3 linked regions of the Xenopus tropicalis genome follow. The protein of the gene in region 1 purifies or fractionates together with the protein of each later gene. This does not show direct contact. Links are inferred from orthologs where the notes say so. Each region holds a gene or a part of one and is shown in the gene's direction. Other genes may lie near its edges.

What was found. Proteins that work in one complex are often made in the same cells at the same time.
Region 2: the proteins of lyn (region 1) and ankrd54 purify together in Homo sapiens (affinity purification with mass spectrometry; 3 studies listed by BioGRID and IntAct, with this or other methods). This does not show direct contact. The link is inferred for Xenopus tropicalis from reciprocal best matches to the Homo sapiens genes LYN and ANKRD54.
Region 3: the proteins of lyn (region 1) and plcg2 purify together in Homo sapiens (affinity purification with western blotting; 3 studies listed by BioGRID, with this or other methods). This does not show direct contact. The link is inferred for Xenopus tropicalis from reciprocal best matches to the Homo sapiens genes LYN and PLCG2.

What each region holds. Positions count from the first base shown.
Region 1 is NC_030682.2:115,677,492-115,683,402, forward strand, and holds part of lyn (tyrosine-protein kinase Lyn), read left to right. Parts: intron 1-1,679; exon of another isoform or gene 1,680-2,132; intron 2,133-3,446; exon of another isoform or gene 3,447-3,486; intron 3,487-3,813; coding exon 3,814-3,967; intron 3,968-5,911. UniProt on the Homo sapiens protein: Non-receptor tyrosine-protein kinase that transmits signals from cell surface receptors and plays an important role in the regulation of innate and adaptive immune responses, hematopoiesis, responses to growth factors and cytokines, integrin signaling, but also responses to DNA damage and genotoxic agents.
Region 2 is NC_030680.2:122,076,880-122,083,340, reverse strand, and holds the start of ankrd54 (ankyrin repeat domain-containing protein 54), read left to right. Parts: upstream 1-2,730; 5' UTR 2,731-2,849; coding exon 2,850-3,054; intron 3,055-5,611; coding exon 5,612-5,659; intron 5,660-5,866; coding exon 5,867-5,965; intron 5,966-6,461. Other genes in the region: eif3l (eukaryotic translation initiation factor 3 subunit L), read right to left, coding at 601-627. UniProt on the Homo sapiens protein: Plays an important role in regulating intracellular signaling events associated with erythroid terminal differentiation.
Region 3 is NC_030680.2:64,131,924-64,138,371, reverse strand, and holds the start of plcg2 (1-phosphatidylinositol 4,5-bisphosphate phosphodiesterase gamma-2), read left to right. Parts: upstream 1-2,717; 5' UTR 2,718-2,944; intron 2,945-6,448. UniProt on the Homo sapiens protein: The production of the second messenger molecules diacylglycerol (DAG) and inositol 1,4,5-trisphosphate (IP3) is mediated by activated phosphatidylinositol-specific phospholipase C enzymes. It is a crucial enzyme in transmembrane signaling.

The sequences.
Region 1 (5,911 bases):
GACTACGTGTGTTCATATACAGTATATGTAATATACATAACCATCAACTAAAACAAAAAAGCTGTTGACACAAACAACTATAATCTGCATTACATGAACTGCTTCCAATCTTTTGCCAATAATTTAAGTAAAATCCTTAGAAAAAAAATAGTTTGTATTCACTGCCAGTGAGTAATTGTACAGTGTATGCTCTCGTGAAGAGTGCTATTGTTTTGGGTTATCACCAACTGTTTATACATAATGGAACAAGGTGCGCACACAATGGGCTCACTGTTGCCTTTACTTACTGTAAATAGGAAATAAGGGAAAGAGAGCAACACAAATGCAAACATAACGTTCATATGTAGAAACAAAGGCCAACATTTAGCAATGACAAGTATTTTACAATGAAGAATTAAATATTTGAACATATATATTCTGTTGTAGAATGTCTTCTGTTTGTTGTTTGGTAATGCATTCTTGGCATTTAACCTAATTGCACTAAATTACATGATGTTTTAAAACATAAAAGTGAAATGCTCAGCACCACATGTCAGTAAACTCACCAAATAGACCAAAATCCTGCATCTTTACTAGGGCACATGACTTTAATTAAATTGTATAGTCTAGTGCTGCCCAACTTCTGTGGTACCAAGGGATTGAATTTATTTTGGCCTACATGGTGGAGGACCGGTAATGGAGGCCAGGTTTCTTGTTTTTTTTTTTAACCACACCTTCGTCAAACCACATCCATGTTATCACAAGAGCTTTTAAGACTATAGCCAAATTAAAGGTGGTAACACACATAAATACACCCAAATAATTGCAGGGATATCCCACAGGCAGCACAGTATAGGGCAGGCAGAATATGGCACACGCAGGCAGAGTATGGCACACACAGGCAGCATAGGGCAGGTAGAGTATGGCACACACAGGAAGCATAGAGCAGGCAGAGTATGGCACACACAGGCAGCATAGGGCAGGCAGAGTATGGCACACACAGGCAGCATAGGGCAGGTAGAGTATGGCACACACAGGAAGCATAGGGCAGGCAGAGTATGGCACACACAGGCATCATAGGGCAGGCAGAGTATGGCACACATAGGCAGCATAGGGCAGGCAGAGTATGGCACACACAGGCAGCATAGGGCAGGCAGAGTATGGCACACATAGGCAGCATAGGGCAGGCAGAGTATGGCAAACACAGGCATCATAGGGCAGGCAGAGTATGGCACACACAGGCATCATAGGGCAGGCAGAGTATGGTACACACAGGCATCATAGGGCAGGCAGAGTATGGTACACACAGGCAGCATAGGGCAAGCAGAATATGACACAGGCATGCTTGAGAAGGAGACAGGGAGACCTATCAAGACTATGCACTTTACAGGTGTGAACAATACAGTGGGTGTGAACAGTGAAGGAATTTACAGCCTTAATCTAAGGTGTGAACAATGCAGGAAGGCAGTTAATACTGATACCATTTAAACATACACAAAGGTAAGCAGTCACAGCAGCCAGACAGATGGGGGGGGGGGCACAAAAGGGGGGGCTACAATAGTCCATTACTGACCAAACTGCATGATGGTCTGTGCACATGTAGCCTCCTCTTAAAGCAATGAATTTGGCCCAGGAACCTTTAGGTTTACTATATACTGTATTTGTTATATGTACATGAAGAAGGACCAGAACTTCAAACATATTATTCATCAGGATTTATTGCATAATATAGTTTTAATGTTTTACTGTAATTATTAAATGAGTTCCATATCCACATATGAAAATGGCTACTCCTAGCAGCTAAATGGACAGACCAGGTTATCTACAAACTTTCAGCCAGATTTGACAGTACAGGCAGCCACCAGATCAAATGGCAGAGGCCCAGTAAGCATTTGGCATCAGTGGGTTTTCCCTCATGAATTTTCCAGCATGTTCGGTAGGACCTCCTTGGTTCTGCATATGTATACATGGGCAGCTGTTGGCCACTATAGTCAAAGGATGACTAAAGACAAAAGATGGCTAACAATATCTGCCGTGTGTAGAGCTTCAGAGTTCAGAGTTATTCTTTGTGGGCTGAACATGATGGACGCCTTTCAGGTTAAGCAGAATAAGATACTTTGTGCATCTGAGAAAGAAGCAGTGAAGGGGTATATCTGAAAATAAGCAGATGACAAGTTAGGGAGAGGAAGCATATGTTAGACTGAATAATACTAGAAAATATATAGTAGGTCAGAGTTTTAATTGGTTAACTAAGCTTTTGGGGCTACTTAGGCCCCTGCTTCAGGTACGGTAGTCACACCTGCCATTGTTTTCCAAGTTGATTATCAGTGCCTTGAGTTTTGTTATATCTGCTCCTGGGTGCCCCACACACACCATCAGCTCAGAGTGAATAACCTATTACATCAATCTATAAATAAATAAATCCTTATACGGGTATGGGACCTATTATCCAGAATGCTTGGGACCTGAGGTTTTCCGGATAAGGGATCTTTCCGTAATTTAGATCTCCATACCTTAAGTCAGATAAAAATTATTTAAATATTGAATAAACACATTAGGATTGTTTTGCCTCCAATAAGAATTAATTATATCTTAGCTGGAATCAAGTACAAGGTACAGGTATTGGATCCCTTATCTGGAAACCCATTATGCAGAAAGTTCTGAATTACGGGCAGTTCATCTTCGATAGACTCCATTACAAGCAAATAATCCTATTTTTTCTTTTTAAAATTTCCTTTTTGTCTGTAATAATAAAACAGAACCTTTTATTTGATCCCAACTAAAATATAATTCATCCTTATTGGAGGAAAAAACCTATTGGGTTTAATTAATGTTAAAATGATTTTTTGGTAGACGTTAGGCATTGTGATCCAAATTATGGGAAGACCGCATATCTGGAAAACCCCAGGTCCTGAGCATTCTGGATAACAGGTCCCATACCTGTATTTATTGCTGTTCAAGGGCTATGGCTCATGGGGCGTTTCACCAAGCAAAAAACATAGGTAGCACTCCCACTGTCTTATGGGGGTACCCCTGTCTCCATATATGTATGTATTATTTAGTAGAAGAGTAAATTATCTTGGACTTAAATGGTTTTTTGCTGTTAATTCACTGGGAATGTAGATAATCAGTGAGCAACAGGATTTTGGTTTTACTGGGGAGCTTGTTTGTATAATGGGTTTAACTGAAATATACATTTTAGCTATGGTTTCCTCTTCACTGCACACATTCTGGTGTCATATTCAACCTGTTTTTCCAGCTATCTGTACAACAGTGGTATTAGCCACGGCTCAGATTTCCTCGTTTTACATTGTATTGAAACCTTTAAAGAGATTTGCACATTGTCATGGCAGCCAGATTAACACCTTCTTACAAATATTGTACATTTAGTTTTACGAATCATGCACAAGAACTTTTCATTTCAGTTTAGCAGATGCTAAAGTATTAAGTGCTATTCTGATACCTACCGGGAGCTGCTATCTTGCTCCCTTCCCATTGTTCTGCTGATCGGCTGCTGGGAGGGGGGTGATATCGCTCCATCTTGCAACTCAGCAGTAAAGTGTGAATGAAGTTTATCAGAGCACAGGTCACATGGCTGTGGCACCCTGGGAAATGAAGAATATGGCTAGCACCATGTGACATTTCAAAATTAAACATAGCAAAAACAGTTTGCACTTTAAATTCAGGATTCTGCTAGAGAAGCTCTATTAACTGATGTGTTTTGAAAAAAAACATGTTTTCCCATGACAGTGTTCCTTTAAATTCCAAAAGATTAATGGCTTCTATGACTGGCTCCTATAGGTACTCTTAACCACCTAATAATCTCTCCCACAGATTGCTGAAGGCATGGCTTATATAGAAAAAAAGAACTACATCCACCGAGATCTGAGAGCCGCTAATGTGCTTGTTTCAGAATCCTTAATGTGCAAAATTGCTGACTTTGGTCTTGCCCGAGTAATTGAAGATAATGAGTACACTGCAAGGGAAGGTATGTGCTCTGCTTTTAATGTGCTGTAAAACAGACAAATGGTAAGATCTGTTCCAGCAATCGAGGGCTCTGTTTTATTACCCTAACAAATTGCTTCCATTATTTACAATAAGATAGTGCCAGGTTGCTAACAGATACTAAGGATGCCTATAATATTAAACTGTGACTCCCTAAAAAAGTGATTGCCTGGCTCACAATATTTATAACTGTTGTAAATAGGAAGCATAGTGATCTGCAAAATCATGTGATACTCAGCTGTGTGGCAATAAAAGGGGTAAAGAGTCTCAGTTCATGGCATTAAATGTGTGTGGTAAAATACCCTTGTGCACATACGGTGGTGCTTGAATGTTTGTGAACCCTTTCATATTTTATATTATGTGACCTAAAACATCATTTTATTTTCAAACAAATCCTAAAACTAAATAAAGAAAACCTAGTGAAACAAATTAAACAAAAATTATTATGCCTTTTCTTTCATTTGATCAACTAGGTTTATTTCATCTCATATTATGACTTTGAAAATCGGATGATGTTTTAGGTCACATTCATATAAAAATATAGAACATTTGAAAGGGTTCACAAACTTTCGATAAGTGCATTATATATATATATATATTGGAGGGTAGGCACTCACGTATAAGTAGAATACTTCGCCTGGGTGCAGTGTGGAAATATGTATAATCACCATCTGAAAAATCTCACACTCCTCAAGACTTAATAATATCCACAGCAAATTTTATTGAGGGAAACTGACGTTTCGGTCCCACTAGCGGTCCTCACTAACGAGTGAAAGTATATATCATATATATGAACAGAGAGGAGCACACACTTCACAAAACCTGGGTGCAGGTAAAACATAAAATATAAAGAAAGGTACTGCACACACAGGGACTTTTTATGTGGTGGGGGGGTATTTAATGTGGCTGTTGGGACATAGTCTGTTGGTTTGTCCCTGAGGAAGAGCACAGACCATGCTTGAAATGTTGGATTTTTTTCAATGAACACTTTTTTTCTTTGCATTAAGTCCCTGTGTGTGCAGTACCCTTTCTTGATATATATATAATGCAGATGCAGACTGACATCTCATGGCAGCACAGAAACCAGGGGATTCTGCTAAGACATACAGTATATAACCTGCTAATGCTTTAAAGATTTCCAACAACACAAAAGTTGAGATTCTCAGCAGCAGCCCAGATCTTACTGAGTGCTTTAGTTCACTTATAAGTAAATAGTTTCCATGCAAACTTTATTCATATCAGTGCTCAGGCTCTGTTTGTCAGTCCGTGCCTTTATTAGGGGTGGGGAGGCTAATGGAGTTGCTCTTGTGTGACAGCTATTGCAGAGAAACAATAAGAAAACTCCCTTTCACCTTCCCTAGAACTCCAGGAAGGAATATGCCCTGTAAGAGTGAATAGAACATGAAACTGTCTCTCACTCACTCTTGGGCTCATTTCTAAGGGAAACCACACCTTGGCACCTTTACAAGGCCGATGCGGCTAAGGTAGTGCTCTGCAGTTCTGTCATATAAAGCTGTTGGAGGCCCCCCTATATTGACTACTGGAAAATCCAGAATGACTATACTATTACATTGCTTACATGTACCCTATTCAGTTGGGCGGTTAACGCTTACAAAGCATTACAGGGTGCCATAGAATGAATAATTCAGTTTGTCTGTTAGCTGAACAAACACAGCTCTTTGTGTAAATCAAAGTCAGTAAGGCCATGTTGGCTAACTTACTGTTTATAAAGGGTGAAGTCACCAACATGGAGCAGAATAAAGGGCAACTACTTACAAACCGTTAAAAAAACAAGGCAAATTATAGTGAAATGTAACCCACCTGTGCTGTTAGATAATTGGAAACATCCTGTTTATTGTCCATCTAAATGCACAATATAAGCCAACAGTATGTCCCTTACACTATAGCAGCTTTAGATTTAAAATGT
Region 2 (6,461 bases), on another chromosome or scaffold:
CTCTGTCCATAGCCGTAGTTTGTCTAATTATAGCCAAAAAGGGGTTACACTAGGATAGTGGGAAAGCCAAAGGAGCTAGTCTGCCCCATGTTAGATTGCAAGCCACTATACTGTTGGACAGAGCCATAACTAGCAGTCAGGGCCAGCTTGTGATACATTAGACTGGCTGGGCAGTACAGACAAGTGTTACTGCTCTGATATATACATGTGTACAGCAGGAACCCACTATGTAGGCTCACAGTTGCTATCTGGCCAGTATATTACTGACCTGGCTACTAGGCTTACTGACAGTGTTAACAAGGGTGGCAAAACCGGTATTCGTTAATGTGAATATATAGCAGGGAGGGGATTCAGCACTAACACACGTCTTTATTTTATAGTCCCACCTTGCCACCAAACATGAAGCCTCAGAACTAATCTGCCATATTACAAAATCTCAAATAAAGATAACGTGCATATTATTACTATGGCATTGTTCTTTTAACACAAGGGATTGAAGTCCTATAACCCTAACTATCATATCCCACAGCAACGTCTCTAGCTATAGTGCAATGCACCGCACCCCAAAGCAATCAGGGCCAAAAGGCCAACGCTACTCACTTCAAACTCTTCGTTGGCGTAGGACATGGTTATATCGTGCGAACAGGACACCGAACACCGGCACCCGCGGAGCGCACACTACACACTTAAACAGGAAGAGAAAAGGGAGACTTCCGGCGCCTTTCTAAAACGTCATGGCGTACTAATGAGCGCTGCCGAGAGATGGCGCTGGAGAAGCGCGCGCTTACTAAAGTAAATGTAGTGAGATCTTGTAATTATAACTGGTATATTCTGTGTGGAAGGGAGGCACACCGTCATAAAACTGTTCTTCTTTATGCCACCTATACTTGGCACCCAGCAGCCACAGGCCCTTGGTTTGTGGCAATTGTTTGTGTTCAGCTTGGCCTGGTAACTACAGCAATGTGTCACAAACAAACATTATGCTTCCAAAGAAGCAGCACAACCTATAGACTGGGGCTACATTTCTGCCATTTTTAATGACATGCTCAAGAAGCAGGGCTTTTCCTTTACTGTTCCAAGAGTCTGAACGAGCAGTGCAGAGAGGGACAAACAAATACTGCTTTTATTTTCAATTTATATAAAAAATATCTGTGGGTTTCTCTTTTAATTATAGCAACACAGCTGAAACTATATTATGCTAACACAAGTATTAGTATTATACAAATATGTGTGATATAGGATTTATTGAACCATTCCCAGATCCTGTGTCACAAACGTGAATTATGACCAAGCTGGGAATATTTTTTTGTTCACTTTGTGGACATGCACATAAGCAAACACACCCATTTTACCAAAACACACCCCAGATGTGGGTATGGGTAATGTGCATATTAACCCTAGATGTGCCAGTAAGATAACTCTTCAGCCTCCCTCTTCCTGATTATTAAACCACTGTGAAAAAAAAATCCACAATGGTGCATTCCACAGTGGCAAAGCATCTTGGATTTTGTTTAGAAGAGCAGGGAGCTGATAGCTGGCCATGACATGTGGCACAATTTATTATTATTAACATTTATTTATAAAGCGCCAACATATTCCGCAGCACTGTACAATAAGTGGGTTTCATACATTGGACATACAGAGTAACATATAAAGCAATCAATAACCGATACAAGAGGTGAAGAGAGCTCTGCCCAAAAGAGCTAACAATCTACAAGGAGAAAGGGTTGAGACACAAGGTGTGGGAATAAGAATACAGTCCAGGACAGCAGGCTGTGTGCTTAACTGTGACTGTCCCATAAAAATTAAGACAGATAGGAGATATGCATCTACCCCAACATGGCCATACACACTGGGAGCTTCCACCAAGTGCTTGGGGGGGAGGGGGTCACTTATTTTCCCCATCTGTAGTGTGGGCTCTGTTACTTGTATGTGATAGATACCCTTTCATAACATTGGCATCATTTTTTACTGGCCAGGTGGCCACCATAGATATGTGTTACCCTGGTCTCCCCACATAAAGCAGTGCAAAGGAGATAAAGGAAAGTGAAAGAAGCTGATTTATTAAGAGAAAAATATTGGGAACTGCACAGTCAGTTCATATGCAGTTACAGGAACATACAATGAAATTGTTTTGGGTCCACATAAACATTAGTAATATGAACATTGTTCACAATCATATATTGATTATATTGTATTTATATAGCCCCACAAGGGTACACAGAGCTTTAAAAGCAATAGACACAAACAGGGGTATGGTCATTATAAATCAGACAGTTAAAACAAATATTAAAACAAATATTGGGATGAGGTCCCTATCCCAAAGAGCTTACAATCTTTTCTAGTCGGCCCCCTACTTGGCCTCAGCAGCTACTCATTCAGAAACTGGGTTCTGAATGGCTTTTCATTTTACAAAAGCCTCATTTATATTTCACAAATGGTTTTACTGTATTTAGAATTGCACAAGACAAGTAGCAGTAACGTTGTGAAAACCATCATTAATGGCTTCTGTAGCTGCGGTGTCCAAAACTACACTTCCCATAATGCGTCAGGACTGCACGGCATTGGAGGCCTTTATAGCCGGATCGTTCCGCTTTACAGCTGCCCATCAGTTACTGGCGGAAACAACTGTCTATCAAGATCTTTCAACCAATGAAGGATGGCTATATGTATTTTGCCGCTCGCTGTCAAAAGTCTGTTCATGTTGGTTGGCCGGAACTGTCATAGCGCTGATAGAAATCAGTAAAGCTGATTGGTCGAGATTTACGCTTCGCAGTCTTCGATTGGCTGTAGCCTTCCATTGCTATGGTTACTGTGGCCTGCTGGTCCTTTAGGAACCTGTGAAGCAAATGGAGCTTGAGGAGCAGGCTAGTAAGACTGTACCGACAGAACTATGTCATGTTCCCACGGCAGGGGATTTCTGTGTATCCGAGGTACCCGAGCTTTTAAGAGCTTTATGGGAGGAACCAGAGAGGCCACGGAGAAACCTAGGAGGTCGCGTTAAGACTCGGCAGCACCGTCACAGGCTCTGTCCCCTGGGGAGAGAGAACTATGGTAATATGCTGTACCGATATGGGCACCTGAACGCCTGAAGAGGGTTACTAAAGTAACGTTTGAACCAAAATAGCAATTTCCTCTGCAAATAACTTTAAAACCATTGCAAATGTTCAATTAATGTGTATTGGAAAGAATTACATTTTTAGTATGCAACAGACATTATTTGGGTGGAGATCCCCCTTTAAAAAGCCAAAGCACGTGGCTTTCTGCGCCAGTTATTACAAACCTACTAGACATGGTGATTTCTCAATTCTTCTAAACTTGCTTGGCATTCTGGGTAAATTGCACAGAAGTTTGGGAAACCAGATTGTGTTTAGTGTTGGAAGTATTAGGGATTGTGTGTGTAAATGAGCCCCAGTGACCCAGTATTTGGTTAGAGAAGTCGCTCAATGTTTTCCCCAGGCCCTTTTTACGGGGTGGATTGACTGGTATTTTCCCCACCACCTGGTGCCCCTCTGGCCCGCACGTTGCACACGGTGTCAGAATTCTCATTTCAGAAGCCAATAATACTGCACTGTGTCCAGTCCTGTTGGCTTGTACAAAAAATTTTGTTCAGGGGAGAACACTATCATACTTGGGGCTGCAAGGGGGCCATAAAGATTGTGGGACATGTTTATTATCACTGGTGTGTCAGACAGTGGATCTTACTGGTCACTGGGTGGGAAGCATTGATGCTAAGAATCATCTAGGATAGGCAGCTGATACAAAAGAATAACATCAGCAGGAGAGTAGTACAGAGGAGTTCTTCAGTATAATTATGCATATATTGTGTAACTCCACTCATATGAATCACTACTATATTTGGTGCATTGCTCTGTTTCTCTGGTATTACCTTAGTAGACATGCACAGTATCATGTGGACTAGAGTATTCGTGCTTTCAGCCCATTCATTATACAACAGGGGTCGGGAACCTTTTTGGCTGAGAGAGCCATAAACACCACATATTTTAAAATGTAATTCTGTGAGAGCCATACAATATGTTTGGCCGTGGATGCTGCGGGGCAAGGTAGGGTGGGTGCCAAGGATGCCGGATGCAATGCGGAGGAGGTCGTGGCCTGCGCTCGGCAGATAGAAGATGTGTTCTAAGGCTTAGAACACGTCTTCTATTCGCCGTGCGCAGGCCACGCCCCCCGTTATTTTTTTTATTAAAGATTTGTTAGTGAGCCAGATGCAGCCATCAAAAGAGCCACATCTGGCTCCAGAGCCATACGTTCTGTACCCCAAGAATGCTTGTCTGACATTGAAAATGTGTCTCACAATTGGAATAAATGGATTGTGCTTAGTATTCCAGTAGAAAGTAGTAGGGGGGCTTCTAAATGGGGATTAAAGGGGCGATTCACCATTAAGACTTTTAGTATGTTATGGAATTACTTTTCAATTGGGCTTCATTGTTTATTTGTTATAGTTTTTTAATTATTTGCCTTCTTCCAACTCTTTGCAGTTTTAAAATGGAAGCCACTGTTCCCAGCAGCCAAAAAACTATTGCTCTGTGAGGCTACAGTTTTATTGTTACTGTTACTTCTTGTAACTTTCGTTTCTATTCAGTCTCTCTCTTATTCATATACAGGTATAGGCGCCGTTATCCAGAATGCTTGGGACCAAGGGTATTCTGGATAAGGGGTCTTTCTGTAATTTGGATCTCCATACCTAAAGTCTACTAAAAAAATCAATAAAACATTAATTAAACCCAATAGGATTGTTTTGCATCCAATAAGGATTATTGATATCTTAATTGGGATCAGTTACAAGGTACTGTTTTATTACTATAGAGAAAAAGGAAATCGTTTATAAAATTCTGAATTATTTGATTAAAATGGAGTCTATGGGAGACAGGCTTTCCATAATTCGGAGCTTTCTGGATAACAGGTTTCCGGATAAGGGATCCCATACCTGTACCAGTCTCTCGTCCAAGCCACTTCCTGGTTGCTTAGGTAACTTGGACCCTAGCAACCAAGTGCTGAAACTCCAAACTGAAGAGCTGCTGAACTGAAAACTACAAATAATAAAAAAAACAAAGATCAATTGCAAAATGTCTCAGAATTTTACTCTCTACATCATACTTAAAGTTAACTCAAAGGTGAACAACCCCTTTAAGCATTTATGCATGGAGTAATAAAATGATCTTTGATTATATAAACAGAGATACCATCAGGGGAAATCAGAGCCAGCTACAGCATCCCCACCCATAGTCACCCCCCCCTCAATGCTAGTTTACCTGTGTAGCCTGTTTATGAATTCCATCACAAATATTTAAGTATCTCCCTGTGCTTTGCATGTTCATTACACACCAAGGAATCCTGGTAATTGCTTACATAAAGGAGGTGTTAAGTGGTGGTTAGTGGACCCAGACTGGCAGTCTGTAGATTCTGGCAAATGTCAGAGGGGCTGCTGCGAGATGCCATAGGCAGTCACTATTTAGTGGTCTGTTGGGGCCTCTGAAATGCCAGGGCCTATTTTGAATGCCTGTCTGAGCCTGGTGGATAGGCTGATTTCAGTTGCATTAGTGTCAGTAATGAACCTCAGTATTAACTAAACTTAATTTTGTACTTTCAGCGTTAAGGAAGCTAAGGGAAGCAGCCAATGGAAATGATTTGGATACAGGTGTGTATTTCACAAGCTTGATATACTATCAAAGCTAAAAATAAAATTAAATAAATAAATGAGCATACTCATATTTCTTTAAACTATTAAATATAGTGTATTAGGACTTAAGAATATCCACTTTAAAAGCCTATATAATAATTGCCCTCCTATAGCACCCCTCATATTTGCTTGTGATTGGTCATAACCCCTTTTGCTCTCTTCCAGTACAACGATTATTAGATGAGGGGGCAGATCCATGTGCAGCTGATGACAAGGGACGGACAGCACTTCACTTTGCATCGTGCAACGGAAATGACCAAATTGGTAATAAACTTGAATAGGGACAGAAAAAGAATCATTTTTGTGTACTATTGGCAAATCTTCATTACCAATATTTTGTGTGAGGGCATAGTACTTTTACTGACAGAAAACTATCATGTGATAAATATTGCGTGAACACAAAGCAGAGAAAGGAGTATATCTAGACTTTCAGACACTCAAAGTATACACAGCCTAGCAGGAGGGTTGTAGTTCTTTCAGGAGTTTGGCACTAATAAGGTAACTCTGGACTAAGAGATGCAGTTTGGCTTAAGAAGAATACTAACATTGTTCCTATATTACAGTACATTGGAATGTCTACTGCAGCACATATTGCTAGTGCTGCATATCCCGCATTTGTGGCAGCACCTGGGTAAGAGTGACCCCTCAGTGCAGTGACGTGTGACCGCAAGCATAACGCCTCATATGACGCGCATAAGGCTGCGTATGATGTGCTGATGTGCATTACACCACATATCACACGCACGGGTCTGACACAATA
Region 3 (6,448 bases), on another chromosome or scaffold:
AAAGTATTTCAAAATCTTTGCTGTCAATCATATTTTGCCTGTTCTGCATCTATGCTTCAGGCAAAGATCCCTACTGGCCAAAGTGGCCCCTACTGCCCAAAGTGACCCCTACTACCTAACAGTGTACACTCTAATTTTTAGATTAAAGTATGCTCTTTAAGTGAATGTATAGTGATTTTGTGATTAGGCAAATATCTATTCATGATATCCTTTAGATATCAAGAATAGATTGATAGATGTATGTTATTTTGAACCTGCACATGAATATCACAGTATAGACATCTTTCTAACTGCATAAGTAAAGAATCAAATACAGAAAAACAATATGCAGATCTATATAGGGAATACTACTGCCAAAGGAATATTTTCACAGCAGACATACTCCCATAGTCTGTAAATAATTCACCAGAGGCAGAAAAAGCATGTTGGAATGTCTCAGGTCTGGTAGAATAGAGAAAGGTTCCCACTAAAGCAAAACATAGTTAAAAACTCAATATCAGCAAATGGATGATATAATGGATCCACAGAAGTTGCACACATAATTGAAAAAATCCTTTAAGGTGAAGACTCACAAAGCTACTAGTAGCAACTACTTGGTGTGGCTACAAAAATAGACAATGCTGGTAATTTACTGATAATTGTCTCTATGTGTGTTTTAGCAGAGGCAAATCTCAGTATTGTCTATGGCAGGGTATTTTCTGACATTTAGTAGCTGTGACAAGTAGCTACATGCGTCAATCTCCTATGAAATCTATTTGTGTTTTCTTCAGTGGGGAGATTGCACAGATTCATACTTGGGCCTTAACCTCCTGTATTCCTTTTTTTAATTTCCTACCATATCATAGAGTAGAACAGAGCACTGGAATAGGGATGAAATGTAACAGATGCAATGTTTGCTCTGATCAATTAACCAATCAACAAATAAAATGTAATCTCTTATCAACTAAATGCAAAGATCTGATTGGCTGCTATAGGTTACAAGATATAAAATGTAGCTCTTGTTGTTGGCTTGCTTATTAAAAATGTGCATTCTGCCAGCCAACAAAGTGGATTCTACTTTCAACTAACCAAAGTCCCTACTAGCATATATGGATATGGTATAATAGTGATTATTTAGGTCATCACTGCCCAAGTGTATACTGTAGTTGATGTTCATCCACTAGATTATACTAAAAATAACAATAGAAGCCTTAATAACTAAGTGTAAGAGCAAAGCATTAAAACTAAGGTTGATTTAAGGCAGCCACAATGTCCACCCAGCCTGCTCTGATGAATTACAAGTGCATGCATTAAAGCAAGTGAACCCTGAAATTATGGCAGTCTGTATGTGGTGGTATTTTCTAGGTTTCCTTAATGAGGCCCTGGGTAAAATGATCAAATTAGAACGGTGAGTATAGGCACCCTTGGTTTGGGGGCTGCATCAATGAGCTGATACGGTTCCTGATCCTATGGAAAAAATCAAACCTGCCTGATCAAGATCTTCCCGATTTCAAAACCAGATGTTGGTCGGGCAGGTCCGTCGTTCTATAGTTCCTGCCCATACATGGGCAGATAAGCTGCCGAAACTAAGGCACATGTAACCGTAATAAGCATAAAAACGCAAGGCTTTGTATTCTCTTGCAGATATCGGCTACATGTGCCTGCACCCGAGCCTATCTCATTCGACCAGGTGCAGGCACATGTAGGAAGCGTAGGGTGGTATTTTCAGCAAGCGCTTTTCCGCTTGCTGAGAATATCCGCTCTGCTCCTCGTCTGGCATTAGCCTAAAGGATTGATATCGGCAGTTAGATTCGGCCCATGTATGGCCACCTTTACTTTGAATCCCAGTCCTGACTTGCTGGGCAGCCTGGGTCTGCCACCAAAGTTGTGGGCCTCAGGTGGGTACCCAAAACAATTGACTGTGTACAGTGCAGTGCAGTGATACTTTATGATGCAGCAAACAGCTTTGAGCTTTCTTTTTATGTCAACAATGACATCAAAGAAGCAGGCCTTTGATGTCTACCCCAAGTTAGCTACAAAAGATAGTTGTACTAACTGTGCCAGCAGCCGCCATACTCAATCCAATCCATACTTGCCTAGAGTACTCAAATGGGGAGAAGGGGTGGTATCACTATTGTAAAGGAGGACCTGTGGTTTCTACACCTGAATAGTCAAAATGATTTTTTAAAAATGTAATTTAATTCCATTGTACTACAGGTAAACTGCAACCTGGTAAAACTGGCACTGAAGACAGATCCTTCTTAGGTGCATGTATGCCTTAAGTAACAGGTGGATACTGTAGGAGTGGCCATACAATATAGGCATACAGCCTCCTTTATATTGTTTATTGGGATTTGCAGTATATGAAGAAGAGCTTCTGCTCCTCTTCCTCATTGATATTGCACTTGCAGATGTGGTCAAAATGACCCTCTGACCTGGAATATATGTGCGGATGTCGGGGCAGTGTGGTTGATATTGAAACTGCCTTGCCAAAGCTGGGCATTTACGGGCAGCCCTATCTTAAAGGTAAAAAAAAACCCTGGAACATACCTAACAATCATTACGGCACAAACAGAAACTTCATTTTTAAGGGCGGTGCACCAGAGTGCCGTTACCGTTACTATTAATCGCAGATTATATGACACGGTTTATGCGGGTTACCTCTTTCGAATACACCTTTAAGGGTTCATGTTTTAGGCTGACATTACGTCATAAAATGCATGCGAGAGAAAAAATAGGTGAAAACAGGAAGGGCAGCGCGCTGTACAGCCCGGGCAGATGAGAGGGACACTTCCTTGTAGGAGCGCTGCTGGGCAGACCCCCCGCCTCTGAGCCGCACAGTTATGTGCTTGGTGCTGCACCGGGGACACCAGCAGGAAACTACCGGCCCCGAGTCGCCGTCGGACATTTTTTCGGAGGAGAGATGAAGTGCAGCCGCCTTTGTACCATCTCCATATAGTGTAAAGTACGTAAGTGTTGTTTGTCTGACGCACAGACACCTGCTATGTAGCCCGGGCAGTACCTATGGGCTGGAACTAAAACTTTCTCTGTGCGCACCTGTGCCACCTTAGTGCTTGTTCCCATAGGATGGAGTTAATATGTAAACTTAACAGCAAAAAGTATCTGCACATTTAAAAAAAGTAAATACAAAAAGAAATGTTTTGAGTGTGCAGATACTTTTTGCTCTTGTGATTATTTTTGGAGTTACTGCTTGGGTTTTCTCCAGTGTCTTTGCACCTCTGTTATTTATGACAAGGTGTGCACTTTGGCAGTGTGCAATATTAATATGTAAACTTACCTGAAAACTAGTGAATATGTCTGTTATATTGACATGGGTACCGGTGTTTGTCCGTGTCACTCCATTCTAAACCATATCCTTACAGCCTGATATAGTTTTTCACTGCCAGTGTTCAGCACTGTGCAATGGATGCGCCGAATCCAAACTCTTTAAATCGTTTGACTTTTGTTCACACAAAGAAGGAAATTGCAACTTTTTCCATGTGTGGCACAGATGGTTCTTTTCAGCCCTTCTGTACATTTGCAAAGAGTTCAGACTTCTCCAAAAATGATTTGCAAAATAGCAGATGTGGTGGCTGCATAGGTAGATGCATCTGGAGATAACAGTTGCACCTACTGACTAGGCTGCTACAGACCTCCAGACTTTGTGGTAGCTTCATGGTTACCACAGTGGTTTGCGCCAATCGTCGCAGTTGTGCCAAAAGCATAGGGCCTATGTCACACTCATGGTGAATGTATGCAATCATGCCAGCTGCATCTGATTCCTGCCAAAGTGCAAGTACAAGTGCAACTGCGTCAGTTTTAATGCATGGGATGTAGTTGCATCTGATGGTGAATTTAATGATGCTGGAATGATAGGACAAAATGCTAGATTGTTGGTAAAAACAAAATGGCAGTTATGTCCGAAATAGCATTTTGCACACTGCAGTCCCCTTTCTCTTGCAATATTTCTCTGTGTCTTGCACCATCTGTGTTTCTTTCTATTTTACCCATGTGTCACAGGGCAACAAGGCTGATTTCAGCCAGAAATTAATGGCTGAATTTTCTAGAAAAACGTTCCCTATATATGCAGTGACAAGCCGATTTCATTTCTCTTAATGCAAATGCGCAGAGGGCAGGGTGGGGGCCGAATCAGTATTTTCTCTGTCTAAACCATGTCTGACTGTAGCATTGTGTTTTTTTCTGTTGTTGACCTTTGTTCTGGTTCTCTATGGTGTAATGCCTGTTGGCAGATAAGCTGAAGATGAACAGCAATTCTTTAACATTACATATCTTTCTCCTGATTTAAAGTATTAGGTCATTACGGCAGTTTTATTGGGAACAGTGTGCTTTGATTGCTGTAATTTTACCTGGATAAACTTTTTAGCCCCATGTGAATTTTTAGCAGTTCTAGTTACATAACTAAATGTGTGCATTGTTGTGGAACTGCTGGGGTAAAGATGTTAAACTGGCATGGTACTTACTGTTACATTTGCGTGTAGTCAGACCTGCATCTCAAACATGAATCAAACACACAAAATCCCAATATTCAGCCAGCAATGTGTGAAGCAGCTTCACTAGGTCACACTGGACTTGGAGTCTAGGATAATAAGATCGTTGAATTACAAATGTAAAGCGTTCCCTAGCCTGTGAAAGGCGCTTTGCTGACAACTGGCTCCCTATTTTGGGAAGAGATAAGTGCTGTTAGGGGTGGCTTACGGGAATTTGTTTTGACAAATTAACAGTGATAGAGGAACATGTCATTATCACTAAAAAGTTAAATGCAGATTAATAAAGCTCCTCCTAACATACTGTTTTTAGTTACTTCTGCACTTAAAAAAGACTTGTGGGTAATGCATAAGCCTCTTTGTCATCTGTTACAGCTGTGAAATGGAAAGATGCACTTTAATAGTAGAACTGGTTTTATAGCTGTTTTATGAGAGGTTCTGCAGAATTTCATAAATATCTTTTGTGTTCTTACATGGGTAAAATGTGGAGAAGAAGTAATGCCTTAATAAGTTGCCCAAGAGTGAGGCAGCTCTCCATCTGATATTTTGCAGGCACCAATGAGAACTGACTTGTATTGGTTTTAACAGTGCAGTAATTTCTTCATTTCCTTTTTGCTTCACATAACTCTTCTGAGGGGCTGAAGTGACAGTTGTAATGGTGCAAAGCATGTAAAAGTGTTAAACTGATACTGCACATGTGGGTTCCAAGAAAACTGTGCAGTATTTTCATTTTCTCAAATGAATTGCTTTCATGTTATAAAAGATAGTGGGTGTTGTTTAAAATGTCTGAATAGAAATATATCTGTAAATTCTTATAATGCCAAGAATATCAAGGACAGAAAATATGATCCCACAATTTGAATTTTTTTAACTCAGATTCCAGTACTCAGGCTTCACGATGGCATTTAACGGCCAGAAGCCAGGACAAGGTCGCCTTCCAGTGAAGGGCTTGTTGTGGCTGATGATCATTGTCAGGGAGCTGTGGCACAGAAGATGAAGCATCAGACATGGCAGCCTCAACGCCACTGTGCAGCAGTAAGAAGTAAAAGGGATAGCTGCTCTCAGAAATAAAAACAAGCAATACTTATTCCTTGCAGAAATACTAGTTGAGTTAAACAAACTAATGTTTACACAAGGAAAGCTCAAATTGCGCTTCACTTCAATACAAAAATTGTTGAACAAAATCGGTGGCTTCCAGTCTCTGTTATAATGTGTACATAAGCAAAATTAGTGGAGGTCTGGTGACAGTTTGTGCTCTACCCATGGGTTATCCAGCAATAAAGGGGCTTTGGTACTGTCCTTTGCTACTAACTCTGGGCTTTTTAGATTTTTTTGTGTTGATAAAAAATGGGGAGTATTCTCAAGAAAGCTTCCTTGTGGTGTTGGTGTCTTTTTCATATATTTGGCACAGCTTTTAATCTACCGTTGCTGGTGTAAAAATATTTTAATCATCCAGTTCCTTCTAACCCTTTTGCTAGTGTCAGGTTGACCCTGGAAGCTGTTGTTGTTAGAATAAATGTTAAGATACATGTGAATTCACTCAGTTCTCTAAATGTAATCTAAGAAACATATCGGCTCAGGTGGACCTTGGCTCCAAAACACTGATGGCTATAAGGAGCAATTTGACTACCACTGTTTTCCACCTTTATACTCATGTCCCTATAGGCTAATTCAGTCAATGTTCATATCTAATCATGAAGGTACACGTCTCCCTGTTACCTTGTTGAATCCATAAAATACTGCCATTAGGCTGCTGCTGACCGAATTTTAGTCAACTGGCAGTATTCTGAGCACTCTATATGTGTAGATTTTATATTGGTGAACTACATCTCCTGTCAACCTAAGCTAGGGCTCCAATTTATCTGTAGATCTTCTTTCTTTTTGGGACTGTGAGGTGTCTGTTATTAAAAAGGTAAACGTTTAGCTGGTTGCTATAGGTGACTTGACATGTAGTAAACTTTGCA